Mus musculus: one gene and its partners. The protein of the gene in region 3 interacts with the protein of the main gene of each other region in a pairwise test. Links are inferred from orthologs where the notes say so. Each region holds a gene or a part of one and is shown on either strand. Other genes may lie near its edges.

Region 1 (4,248 bases), on a different chromosome or scaffold from region 3:
CTATGTAGTTAGAGGAAAGCAAAGCAAAGCAAAACAAACAAAATGCTTGTCTTATTTGTCTGTTTACTCCATAAGTTTAGTTTACTCCATAAAATAAAGGGTGCCCTGGATACGATATAGTGACACTGGTTTTCCAGAGAAACAGAAAGTAGGAATGGAAATCCCATGTTAACTATGGGACTGACTTTAAAGAAGAGGCCATGAGAGGGACCTCACTAGACACGTAAGGACACATCTGTAGGTACTGACTGTAGCATGAGTCAGGTACTCTCTTAAAACTTAAAAAAAATGCAAATTATTTTTTCTTTAACTGCAGAAAAATTAAGCCACACTGGCCTGAATTTCAAAAGTGTCTCAGGCAGCAATTCAAAAAGGAACATCTTTGGCCACAGAACTGTTGGCTGTTGAGTTTAGAAAGACTGTGAAATTGTGAACAGCATCTCAAGCAGCTCGCCAGTGGCCCTTGCACATAACCATTCATGCTGTTCCCAACTATGCAGGCACAAGGGATCCTAGCAAAGATGAGTCCATAGTCCTCTTCATTTTCTTGTCTTGCTGGAATCACTAAGTTGCTAAAGAAATCTGAATCCTGGCAAAAGGGCCTTTATTCCTGACTCGGGGTGAAACTCCTCAAGCTAAGGGCCAAGGTAGCTAGGGCAGGAAGTGCAAGCTGAAAGGTAAAGAGGCACTAGAATTTCCTACCTATTCTATCATACCACATCCTTTCCTTAAGAACAAAACTGCAATGGGAGGGGGTTTAGTTTCTTTGAGCCTCCACAAAGCAGCAAGAAGGCTAGCACCTTCATGTGCACAGCCTTGCAGTGTGCTCTGTGTGGAGGAGAGGGGAAGGGTGCAGTGGGTCCCAGTAGCTCATCGGAGGCTCCTCACTGACACACACAGAAGGACTTGTAGGTCACTAGTTCAGAAGTTTCCTTTTGGGAAACAAATGAGAATGGATCAGGTTAACATTTGCAAGTAAAATAACTTGCTCCATTCCACACTAACCAGTTATGTTTCTTGAACATTTTGCCAAAGAGGAAGAAATAGTGCCTTCCCAGCTTTGCAGTTGGTTCTAGCGTCTTCTCATCTATCATTGGGGTAATACGTTCAGAGTGGCATTTTGTAATGACAGAAACATCCCAGCAAATCGATAGTTATTTAATTCCCAACAAGCTCTCGAGTCCATTAAACCTGATTACATTCACCCATTTCTGTGGGTGCCGTTATTCTCCTGCACCAGCACTTAATCTATAACAGGAACTTATGAGAACTTTCAAAAGCAATTTCAGCATCAATCAGCACGGACTGAAATGAGCGATTTGCTTGTAATTATTTATCGGATAGGGCAGCACAGGGGCCGACAAAACTCCAGCCTTTGACCTTCACCCCAAATTTCCAACAGAAGCCAAAAGCACTGTTACTCTGCTTCACCTTCAAGTCCTAAGTTTCATGTCACCATCTGGCCACAAGTTCCCTTCCTTGGTGCCAGGGCCATTCTCTGCTGGTCTATTTACCTATAACATAGAAGTGTAGCAATAGTATCCATACATCTAGGGTAATTGGCAGTTCTGATGCTATCGGGATTGACGTCTGGGTGCATTCTGCCACCCAGCTTCTGACAGTTAATAGAAGGTCACAGTCACAGTCACAGTCAAAGAATAAAAAGAATATTTGTTCAATCCTCCACAGAAGTCGTCATTAATGAATTAGAGTTTTGTAGAACTCTCAGAGAGGGCTGGGTGGGAGTGGGGCTACAGGAAAAAAAGCTAAAGTGTTGTACTGCATATATTTAATTTTCCTTTCCCATAGAAAGGAGATTTAGGATTTATTACTTAGGGTTGCTTATTTCTAAAGAACAGCAACAAATAGCCACTTGCTTCCTACAATGACCCACTTCTATCACAAGTGGATGTTGGCTTCCCAGAGAACTGCAGGCGTACACCCAGAAGCAGTGGGTTTGAGTGACAGCAAGGAGGTACAATAAGGCAAAGAAACAGGTCCAATTTCTCGCTAGCACACAAACCTCTCGGTACACAGAATAATAGCCTTAGCAGTCAAAACAACAGGCATCCTAACTTCTCCCCAGCTGCCGAGAATACAAACAGTTGGCATCGAATTTGCAGAATAACCTCTGAACTTCCTAGCGAGACCATTCTCAGTGTACCCTCTTGTTTGTGGGTCGCCTCTCAGATTTGCAAGGGGAAGCTTCTCTGCAAACAACAACCTGTGTGGGGTGTCCTCAGCAGCACTCTGTATTTCCTGCCCTTCTGTTTCCGGGGTTAAAGCCTTTAAGCAAGCCATATCATGATAAGTTACTGAGCCTCATGATCTGCTCTGGGAGACCCAGTCCCTCAGAAAGCTAGGGAAGAGAGCAAATCTTTTGCCCCCTGGTCAACCTCCCGAAGCAAAGGCATGAATGTTAAACAGCACCCAGATCAATACAAGCAAATACAGCTCAACTACACCATTTATTCATCCATGAGAGATGTCAATAGCCAGATTAAGGTGATCCATCTTTTTGATTTCCTACTGTCTTTCCTTTGACTACACGAGGGCTTTTTTTTCTCTTCCTGTATTAAAAGTGTTTGCTTTCTCAACCATAAAAATTCCAATTATTACTTAGAGCATTCTGGAGTTAAGTTGCTTGCTGGCAAAAGCCATGAATTACCTGCATCAGTCCCGGGAAGTAGGGGGCAGCAGGCACAATCATGGGCACGCCATAAGAATGCAGAAGGACTCCTTGCGACGCCAACATGCTTTAAATGGAGGCTTTATTCCCTCCAAGGCTGAACACATCAATAGAGAGTTAGAGGGGGAAAGAAATCTATAGACCCAACTTCTTCTCAACTACAAAGCCGAGAGCCAAATCACTTCTGTCAGGAGCCAAGTGCTCATCCACAGGCAGCGGAGAGGGAAAGGAAACAAAACCCTGCATCAGCAACTCTTAATGTGAAAGTTTTCTTCCCAGACAAGGAAGGGACGCGGCAGCTGCAGGGTCGGTCGGAGCTACCAAAATGGAAGGAGCTATTTTGGGAGCAGCTCGCCCAACATGACTAACCAAATACTCTTCATTAATTTAGTTCTCAGACCAAGGGAGATGGAGTGACAGGGAATCAGGCGAAAAGAGAAGGCATTTGTCCTGAGGAACTGGGCCAAATTGCAAGGGGCTGGGTCTGCATGAGATTTTTAGAGAGAATAAGTAATAGAAATGTGTAAGCTTACATGACAATCAGTTGCAACTTAAAGAACTTAAACATTTACCCACATAAAAATCATCACCAGAGCCTAGACTTCAGTTCTAAATTGCAACTGGTTGTTATGTGAGTTTGTATACTACCATATAAGCCTGAGGACTGGAATTTGGATCTCCAGTGCCTATGTAAGAAATCAGGCAATGTGTCACACATTCCTAGCACTGGGAAAACAGAGACAGGAGAATGCAGGGTCTCAACTGTCGAGCCAGCATAGCCAAACAGAAACTTCCATGTACAGTGGTTTAGTGGAAGACCCTCTCTCAAAGCGTAAGTAAAAAGCAATAAAGAAAGATACCTGGAGGTCACCCTTTGAACACAGCACATACATTTTCACACCTATACCCATTCCGCCACAGTTATGAACAAAACCAAAAACAACCAAACAAATAAGAACAACAACAACCATAACAACAACACTCAAATCTAGCAGGTTCATGTGGGTAGCTGATCAAAAATTATCTAAGAATACTCAGTATGTGGTGGATAGCCTCTATAATCCTAGAACTCAGAAAGTTGGTATAGAAAAATTGGGAGCTCAGCTGTATAGCAAACTTAAGGCCAGCCTGAGCTACATGAAACTGTCTCAAAACAGTGGGCTCACTTTCCACCCCTTCTTCACCCAATTTCAGTTTGAAAAGGCAATTCATGAGTAACAAAATAATAGCTGAAATCTGAGTAAATTAGCTTTGTGGGTTATTGAGCTCCATTCTTCCACATCTCGGATGCAGGGGCTAATTCCCAGACCCAGGAAGCAAAGTGGTACCCAACAGGAATCCAGACTCACACTAGGCAGCCACTTTGCAGCTAGTAGGAAGCAGTGTTGAGTTTAAACCGCCCCCCCACACACACACAATCACTAGGTAAGTTGTCTAGCTGGCATTGCACTGTGAGATGTGATCTAGAAATGTGCCACAGAGTAGGTGCAGACTTGCTGGTGCTGTGTTTCATCTGTGAAGGGATTTTATATAGCTGGTATGTGTATCTTCCAGCTGTG
Region 2 (3,650 bases), on a different chromosome or scaffold from region 3:
CTGGGGTTAGATGGTGGAGATGGTCCAGGACAAGAAATCCAGTTATTCAAATCTATACATGTGTGAAATAAGGAAGAAAGCACTGTTCATGTGGCTTTACAGCTGAATGAACTCAACAGAAGTTAATGTCCGAAGCCATAAGTGATAATTTAGAATTCTGGTGATGCAGGGGCAACTTCTAAACCATCTCAGCCATGCCCTGAATGAATCATCAATTCTAATTTATGTATTTTTCTATGAAAATTTCAAGATCACTTCTATGTATTGACAACTTTATAACTTCAGAAACTCAATTCTGAATGTAATTTATTCATAATGCAGGTCATATGCTCTATATTAAAACAGTAGTTTGTAATATGTTGGATTTATATGTGGGTTATCAGAGTCATTATCTCTGCACTTACTGGCAATACTTTAAAATCCATTAAAAATAGTTCTGGTTCAATCAATCTATAAGGATAAAGAAATGAATTCCATTTCCATGTTGTCTGTATGATAAATCACTAAGATAAGTGGCCCCTGTGTGTTCTTATCACACAGAGGAACCAGATGGTATCATGTCACATGATATGTCTTTCAACACATCAGTGCTATGCCTCGATGGTAAAATTAAATGAAAACCCAGAGAAAAGCAGCTTACATCCATCTCCAAGAGGTTGAACATGCTCGACTCGGCGATTTCTTTAGACTCATCGAATTTCTCCAGAGCTTGGCGGAGTTCTTCATCTGGAATCTTGCCTTGTCGCTTCTTCTTATAATCAAAGTCTAAGCGTCGGCCTTCCAGCTTTTTCAGATGATGCTGAAAGAGCCAAGGGCAGGAACATGCTTCCAAAGGACATATTATGGAAAAGACCTTCTTGTACCTCATTTTTCTTACATTCCTAGTAGCTTCCAAAATGTGACTGGCTGAGTTTGAAATTGCATGTCACCAGAGAAATGAAGACACATGTACCAGCAACGCAAATGCTTCTAGTGGCTAACTGTAGAGGGACACCTTGACAAATAATTCAGAATGAGAAACAAGTCACTGAAAGACCAATGTCCTTTTGCTAAGCATTCCCAGGCCAAAGCCAAGTTGAACTATATCTCTTCTCCAAATGACAAGAAGGGCATGTGGATAGGCATCACCCATACCTTCCACCTCAAGAAAATGCTACACACAAGAGCCTGCCAGTCACCTTCCTCGTGAGAAATGGGAAAGCCCTCTTTTCTGAGGTAAAGGTAGAAAAAAATGAAATTCCTTTTTTATTAATCTAGTTTACCAGAGTCACCTAGTATGTTAGGTAAGAATATCTGATCACCTAAGTCAGAAAAGCCAGGCTGAGCCTAGTGATCTGCATCACAACACCTGCCCCATTTGACAGAGGTAGCTTTTAGGGGACAGATGAGTTTACCTCTCCAAGGACAGGTGACACAACTCAGTCACAAACCCAAACTGCAAGGGACCTTGGAGGATCTTCTATCAGCACTACCTCCCCTAACACACACACACACACACACACACACACACACACACACCTGTAGCTTTAATCCCTCACTGTAGTATCTCCATATGGTAAGGTTCATAACCTCTCTAAAGATGAGGATAAGTAGTTTTGTTCTGTTTTGTTTTCCTGAAGATCAACAGTAGTTTCCTTTCTTAATAGCTGTAGCATTCTACGACTAACTGGTGGGAGAAAAAAGTGATTTTTTCCTCTGTTCCTTAGTGTGTATGGACGAGGGAGGAAGAAGAGAAGATAGAAACAGAGTCAGGGGTGGTAGAGAACTGGCAAGATAAAGGATGGGTTTTGTTCTACACCCTGCTCCTCTCACCGCATCTCCCACCCCCAACTAACACTCTAATCCCAACTAAGTGTGCTTTCTTTTGGCAAGGGGGTGCTGTAGAAGCATTTGAACTCACGGCCACTCAGAGGCAACACCAGCTTAATTTATCAGAGATATCTCAGCTTTTCTGTATGTTTCACAAAGCGTGGTTATTCCTTCTAAACACCAACAACAATAAGGAAAATATAAAAATCGAAGAGTAATATAGTAGCTACTTATTTAAACTGATAGAAGTACAACTAATATTTGGGGACCCCATCAGCCTCATCCATCATTAACAGAGTTTAAAGTCCCGGATAAAGGACATCCCTTTGGCTGGGTGGCAGTGATGCAAGCCCTTAATCCCAGCACTACTGAGGCAGAGGCAGGTGGATTTCTGTGAGTGTGAGGCCAGCATGATCTATAGAGCAAATTCTAGGACAACCAGGGCTACATTTAAAAAAAAATTAAGGGGCTTTTTTTTAAGAAAAAAAAAATGGTGGGAAGATTGTTTAACAAGGAAGTTGAAGACAGAGGAACCAATGCTCTGCTCAGGAGCTGCAGGGCTGCAGCTGTGATCCTGGATTGATGGCCCTTGGTCTCCAGTGCCTTTCATCTTATGGAGCTGTAGGAAATTCACGTGCCCTCTTCTGTGTATCCCAGGGAGACTGTCTGGGAAATGAGAATCTGCGTGTGTGTGAGAAGAAGGATCGCACAGACCTGAATCTCCCTCAGATCCTTGTCATGAAGATTCTGAAGGGGGTCGATGAAATTCTGCTTCACTTCCATGTCCAATGAGTCCTTGACCTCCGAGAGCTCCCTCATGGCTTCTCCCACCTCACCGAGAGCAGGACCTGAGAGGGGAAAATGAAGATCTCACACCCTGAAGAATAAAGACAAGCACTCTTTGCAACAACAGCCTTCAAGATGGCTGTGTAGGGATTGCCTCTGTCCTATAACAGCAACAGAGTCTAAGAAAGCCCATAGTGTTCTCAAGACAAAAGAAGTTTTTCTATTTACCACAGTCATTCTGAAAACCAGGCTCCATGGACCCTTTAAAAGGAGGAGTATCCCTCCTTACCAGGAACTGGATATTTTACTCTGAATACTATTTTGCAAGGCTCTCTGTTCTCTGTGATAGGCACTAGTTCTCATTAATATGAGATCAGTTGCAGCTCAATGCTTTTAGCAGAAGCAGATACTAAAAACTGAGGAAAAAGGGACTAGAGAGGTCCCATGTCAATAGGAGTGAAGGCAGAAGGTGCTTGAAGGCAGAAGGTGCTTAGGGTCCTGAGAGCCAGGCAAGAGAGGAGATAGAATAAATTCTATTTTGCCTGGAGCAACAGAATCAGGGATCCCAAACAAATGAGCAGTGGATTAATCCTAGAGAGCCCAGGTGCCAGTGTAGGAATTCACGCTGATTGTGACTGCTCGATCTGCTTTAATACGCAGCTCCTGCCAGATACACCCAGGAAAGTGCCAAGGCATCTGGGCATGTCTGCCGGAACTGTTGTCAAGGCTGGGGTCCCATTAGAGGAAAAGGACAAAAGCTGCGTAGACAAATCACTTTAAACACTGGCAGTCCTAAAATCACATTTCATCCCCCATATATAACATCTACAAGTGAGAATTAAAATATAAGCAGGCTGACTGATGATCTCGAGTTTGCTGTTGTTAGTGGGTTTTGCTTTGTTGTTTTGTTTTGTTTTTTAATCAGCACCACAACCTCCTTGGAGACCTGCAGTATGGCCAAGGCTACTTACCAAAGTTGCAATCATCACCCAGCTCCCTGCCGAACTTGAGCATGGCCTCTGCCAGCAGTGCTTCCGCCTGAGGGTAGCCTGGCC
Region 3 (3,650 bases):
AGCAGCAAGACCAACAGCCCTAGCATCTCCCCTTCCATGCTTAGTAATGCAGAGCACAAGAGGGGGCCTGAGGTCACATCCCAAGGGGTGCAGACTTCCAGCCCAGCCTGCAAACAAGAGAAGGATGACAGAGAAGAGAAGAAAGACACAACAGAGTGAGTAACCTGGGTCTCAGCACATGCTCTCTCCGAGTAACCTGCTTTAAGGGGTTTTCTGTTCCATAGTAACTGTTACATAGAGCTGGGGTTAGAAATCTGAGCTGAATCTAGTCATTGGGTTCTTAGCATTCTTCCCATTCTGACTTGTTTGCAGCTGTGGGGGTAAGAAAAGCTACTTCTATGGAGATAAGAGTTTAAATTTGAATGCCCTGTCTCGGGGTTCTGGTTCTGCCTAACCCTGCAGTCTGCAAGGACTATTTGCTGCCCCAGTTGAGGAAATGTTTAGTTGATAAGCACATCTTTATAAACCTTATTTCTGTGCATCTGGCATTTAAAAGCACTTAAATAGATAAACTAGTGGGTTAGCCTCAGACATAATCACCACTCCCTTTTTGTGTTCTGGATAACAAAAAAAAAAACTAATTGTACTTGAACTATTTATTCTTGATTTGCAGAAAAATAATTTTACTAGAGCAATGGTAAACCCAAGGCATGTGATTAAAACATTTTGACACATTTAAAATTGCTGCGTATGCTACAGGTGGTGGAAGGGCTTTGTTAACACAGCACTTGGGCATCTGAGGCTGTTGATCCTAAGTTTGAGGCCAGCCTGGATCCATTGCAAGGCCTAATCTTTAAAAAAAAAAAAAAATTAGAACTACTGTGAACTCATTAAGCATTGGTGTTTTATCTGCCTGTCTGTCTGTACACCACACACTTGCTGTACCTTCAGAGGCCAAAAGAGGGTGTCAGATGCCTGAAACTGTAGTTATAGATAGATGGATTAATAAACCCAGTCCTATGGAGTGGCAGCTGTTTAGCTGTCACTTAACCTCATTAGGCACCCTTTTAAGGGGCTGCGACTTACCAGTTGAAATATTCGGTGATTGCTTTTGAGGGATGTGGTTTCTTTGGTTTTCATTTGTTCTCGTATGGTTAGTTTCTTCATCAGATTAAGCAGCAGAGGTGTGTGTTTCAGTAAAGGAGACTGAGACATGGAGAGTTACTCACATCTGCTCTATGTCAGCAATCCTCTGAAAGCTGACGAGTGTGGCGCAGTTGAGAAAGCCGCAGCCCCATGATGTTTCACTGGCCTGCTTGTTGTTTTCTTTCTTTCTTAGGCAGGTTAGGAAATCGACATTGAATCCCAATGCAAAGGAGTTCAACCCTCGTTCTTTCTCTCAGGTAAGCGCTAGCCTTTTACAGCTGGTCTGAAGAGACGTCACTGCGCTCTTCATGGCTTTCTCCTGAGCTCCCATCTGACTGAGCCCAGTTGTAGGACCCTGAGACAGCCTGGCCTCCAGGCTTGTGGGATGTCCCCAAGCTTGTCAGTCCTGCTGTGCCGCTGTGAGGGACAGCTCAGTGTAAGCTCACAACGACTGAGGCTGTCAGGCCAAAGAAGCCCACTCACTAACTACACAAGAGAGTCCATTTCCTCGGGAAGGCATAGGAGAACATGCCTGTATTCTTAGCAAACAGGAGACCGGGGCAAAAGGGTCATGATTTTGTGGTCAGTTTGGGCCACATAGTGAGATCCCCACCCCAAAACACAAAAATGAAAAGAAAAAAATGGATAGACCTTTTCTGGTTCCTTGTAAAATTATTACAATTTTTATATCTTTTTTTCATTGATAAATATTTTAGCTTGATTAGATATGATACAGTGTTGATACCAAATCTGTGTTTATGCCAGCCCTCTAACACTGAGAAATGTCTGCAGCCTAAGTTTTCCCTTTTTTAACCCCTGGAAACTGAATCAACTTCTTACATGCTAGCCTCTGGATGTTTTGTTTGCCTGTTTGTTTGTTTGTTTGTTTTGCTTTGCTTTATCTTTAGAATAAAAAAATGCTAGTTAAAAACAAATAGGCAGAACAATCAGGGAAGCTGCTTTGAATATTGTTTTCATAGATGCTTTTCATCTTGACAGAGTTGATGTTGAATTCTGTTTTTGTTGTTGTTGTTGTTTTGTAGCCAAAGCCTTCTACTACCCCAACGTCACCTCGGCCTCAAGCACAACCCAGCCCATCTATGGTGGGTCATCAGCAGCCAGCTCCAGTGTACACTCAGCCTGTGTGCTTCGCACCCAATATGATGTATCCCGTCCCAGTGAGCCCGGGCGTACAAGTAAGTTCCATGGGTTACAATTTGCTGGACACCATAGCTTGCATTTAGCACAAGTGTCCTAGGTGGGCACTAAGTGGGACACCTGATAGCAAGTAGTGTTAAGAGTGGGCAGTGGGTAGGGGTGGTGTATTGTATCATTAGCATGTGGATCTAAGTTTTAGGATTAATTTTCAGAAAAAAATGACTTACATTTACTATAGGCCAGAGTTGTTCCTTTTAGTTGTGGGTATTAATTTGAATAGCTCACAGGGAATCAAGAAAACACTGGCCAGATCACATTAAAAGACAGTGATAGAATGAATATATTGTTACCATATGAATCTAATGATGTGTTTTCAATTCCCTCAAGCCTTTATACCCAATACCTATGACGCCCATGCCTGTGAACCAAGCCAAGACATATAGAGCAGGTAAAGGTGAGAATAACCCTGCCTGTGTTTGCTTGTGTCTGCATGCTGCATGAGTTTAGCACCTGTGTGCAATGAATAGTTGGCTTCAGCTTGAATTCACAGGGTATGTGTTCACTTGTGATGGCCAACGTGAGTATTCAAGTGATCACATAGTAATCATGTGAGAGAAAAAAATATAAATAAACTTTGTATGTGGTGTGTGGGTATGTGCATGTGTGCACTCAGTATACATGGAGGTTAAAAGAACACTGTAGGAGTTCCTCCTGGTGGGTTCTAGGATCAACCTCAGGTCATCAGATTTGGCCACAAATACCTTTACCTGATGAGCCATCTTGCCAACCCAATAAATGTCCATCCCCATCCCAGTCACCTACACCTTTACCACCCACACTCCACCCTACCCTACCCCCACACAGAGTCTCTCTCTCTCTTACCTTGTAGCCTTGACTAGCTTGGAACTTACTTTATAGACCAGACTTTTGTGGAATTCCTATAAATCTTCCTGCCCCCCCAAGTGCTGGCACTAAAGGTGTGCCCACTACACTCGGCCTTCTTTTTAAAGATGCATTTTGAGGCTGGAGAATTGGATCATTGGTTAAGAGTGCATGCTGCTCTTGCAGAGGACCCAGGCTTGATATCCAGCTCTCACGTGGTGCCTCACGACTTATCTGTAACTAACTCCAGTCCCAGGGAATCCAGTGCCCTCTTCTGGACTCCATGCATACCAGGCATACACACATGTATCAATATACATGCAGGCAAAACACTCATACACATATAAATATCTGTATTTTTTTTCTATATATGAACATTTTGCTAGCGTGTTTGTACTTGTACTGTATGGACACACGGAAGCCAAAAAAAGGCAGCAGAACCCCTGGGACTGGTATCACAGACAGCTGTGAGCTGCCTTGTACATGCTGGGAACCTGAACTCTGATCCTCTGTAAGAACATCAA

What was found.
Region 1: the proteins of Atxn2 (region 3) and Rbfox1 interact in binary tests that used the Homo sapiens proteins (3 or more experiments, as listed by UniProt). The link is inferred for Mus musculus from reciprocal best matches to the Homo sapiens genes ATXN2 and RBFOX1.
Region 2: the proteins of Atxn2 (region 3) and Sh3gl2 interact in binary tests that used the Homo sapiens proteins (3 or more experiments, as listed by UniProt). The link is inferred for Mus musculus from reciprocal best matches to the Homo sapiens genes ATXN2 and SH3GL2.

The regions. Positions count from the first base shown.
Region 1 is NC_000082.6:7,068,506-7,072,753, reverse strand, and holds the start of Rbfox1 (RNA binding protein fox-1 homolog 1), read right to left. Parts: upstream 2,920-4,248; 5' UTR 2,756-2,919; coding exon 2,669-2,755; intron 1-2,668. UniProt on the Homo sapiens protein: RNA-binding protein that regulates alternative splicing events by binding to 5'-UGCAUGU-3' elements. Regulates alternative splicing of tissue-specific exons and of differentially spliced exons during erythropoiesis.
Region 2 is NC_000070.6:85,376,401-85,380,050, reverse strand, and holds part of Sh3gl2 (endophilin-A1), read right to left. Parts: coding exon 3,567-3,650; intron 2,658-3,566; coding exon 2,524-2,657; intron 800-2,523; coding exon 641-799; intron 1-640. UniProt on the Homo sapiens protein: Implicated in synaptic vesicle endocytosis. May recruit other proteins to membranes with high curvature. Required for BDNF-dependent dendrite outgrowth.
Region 3 is NC_000071.6:121,795,094-121,798,743, forward strand, and holds part of Atxn2 (ataxin-2), read left to right. Parts: coding exon 1-155; intron 156-1,279; coding exon 1,280-1,343; intron 1,344-2,129; coding exon 2,130-2,282; intron 2,283-2,631; coding exon 2,632-2,698; intron 2,699-3,650. UniProt on the Homo sapiens protein: Involved in EGFR trafficking, acting as negative regulator of endocytic EGFR internalization at the plasma membrane.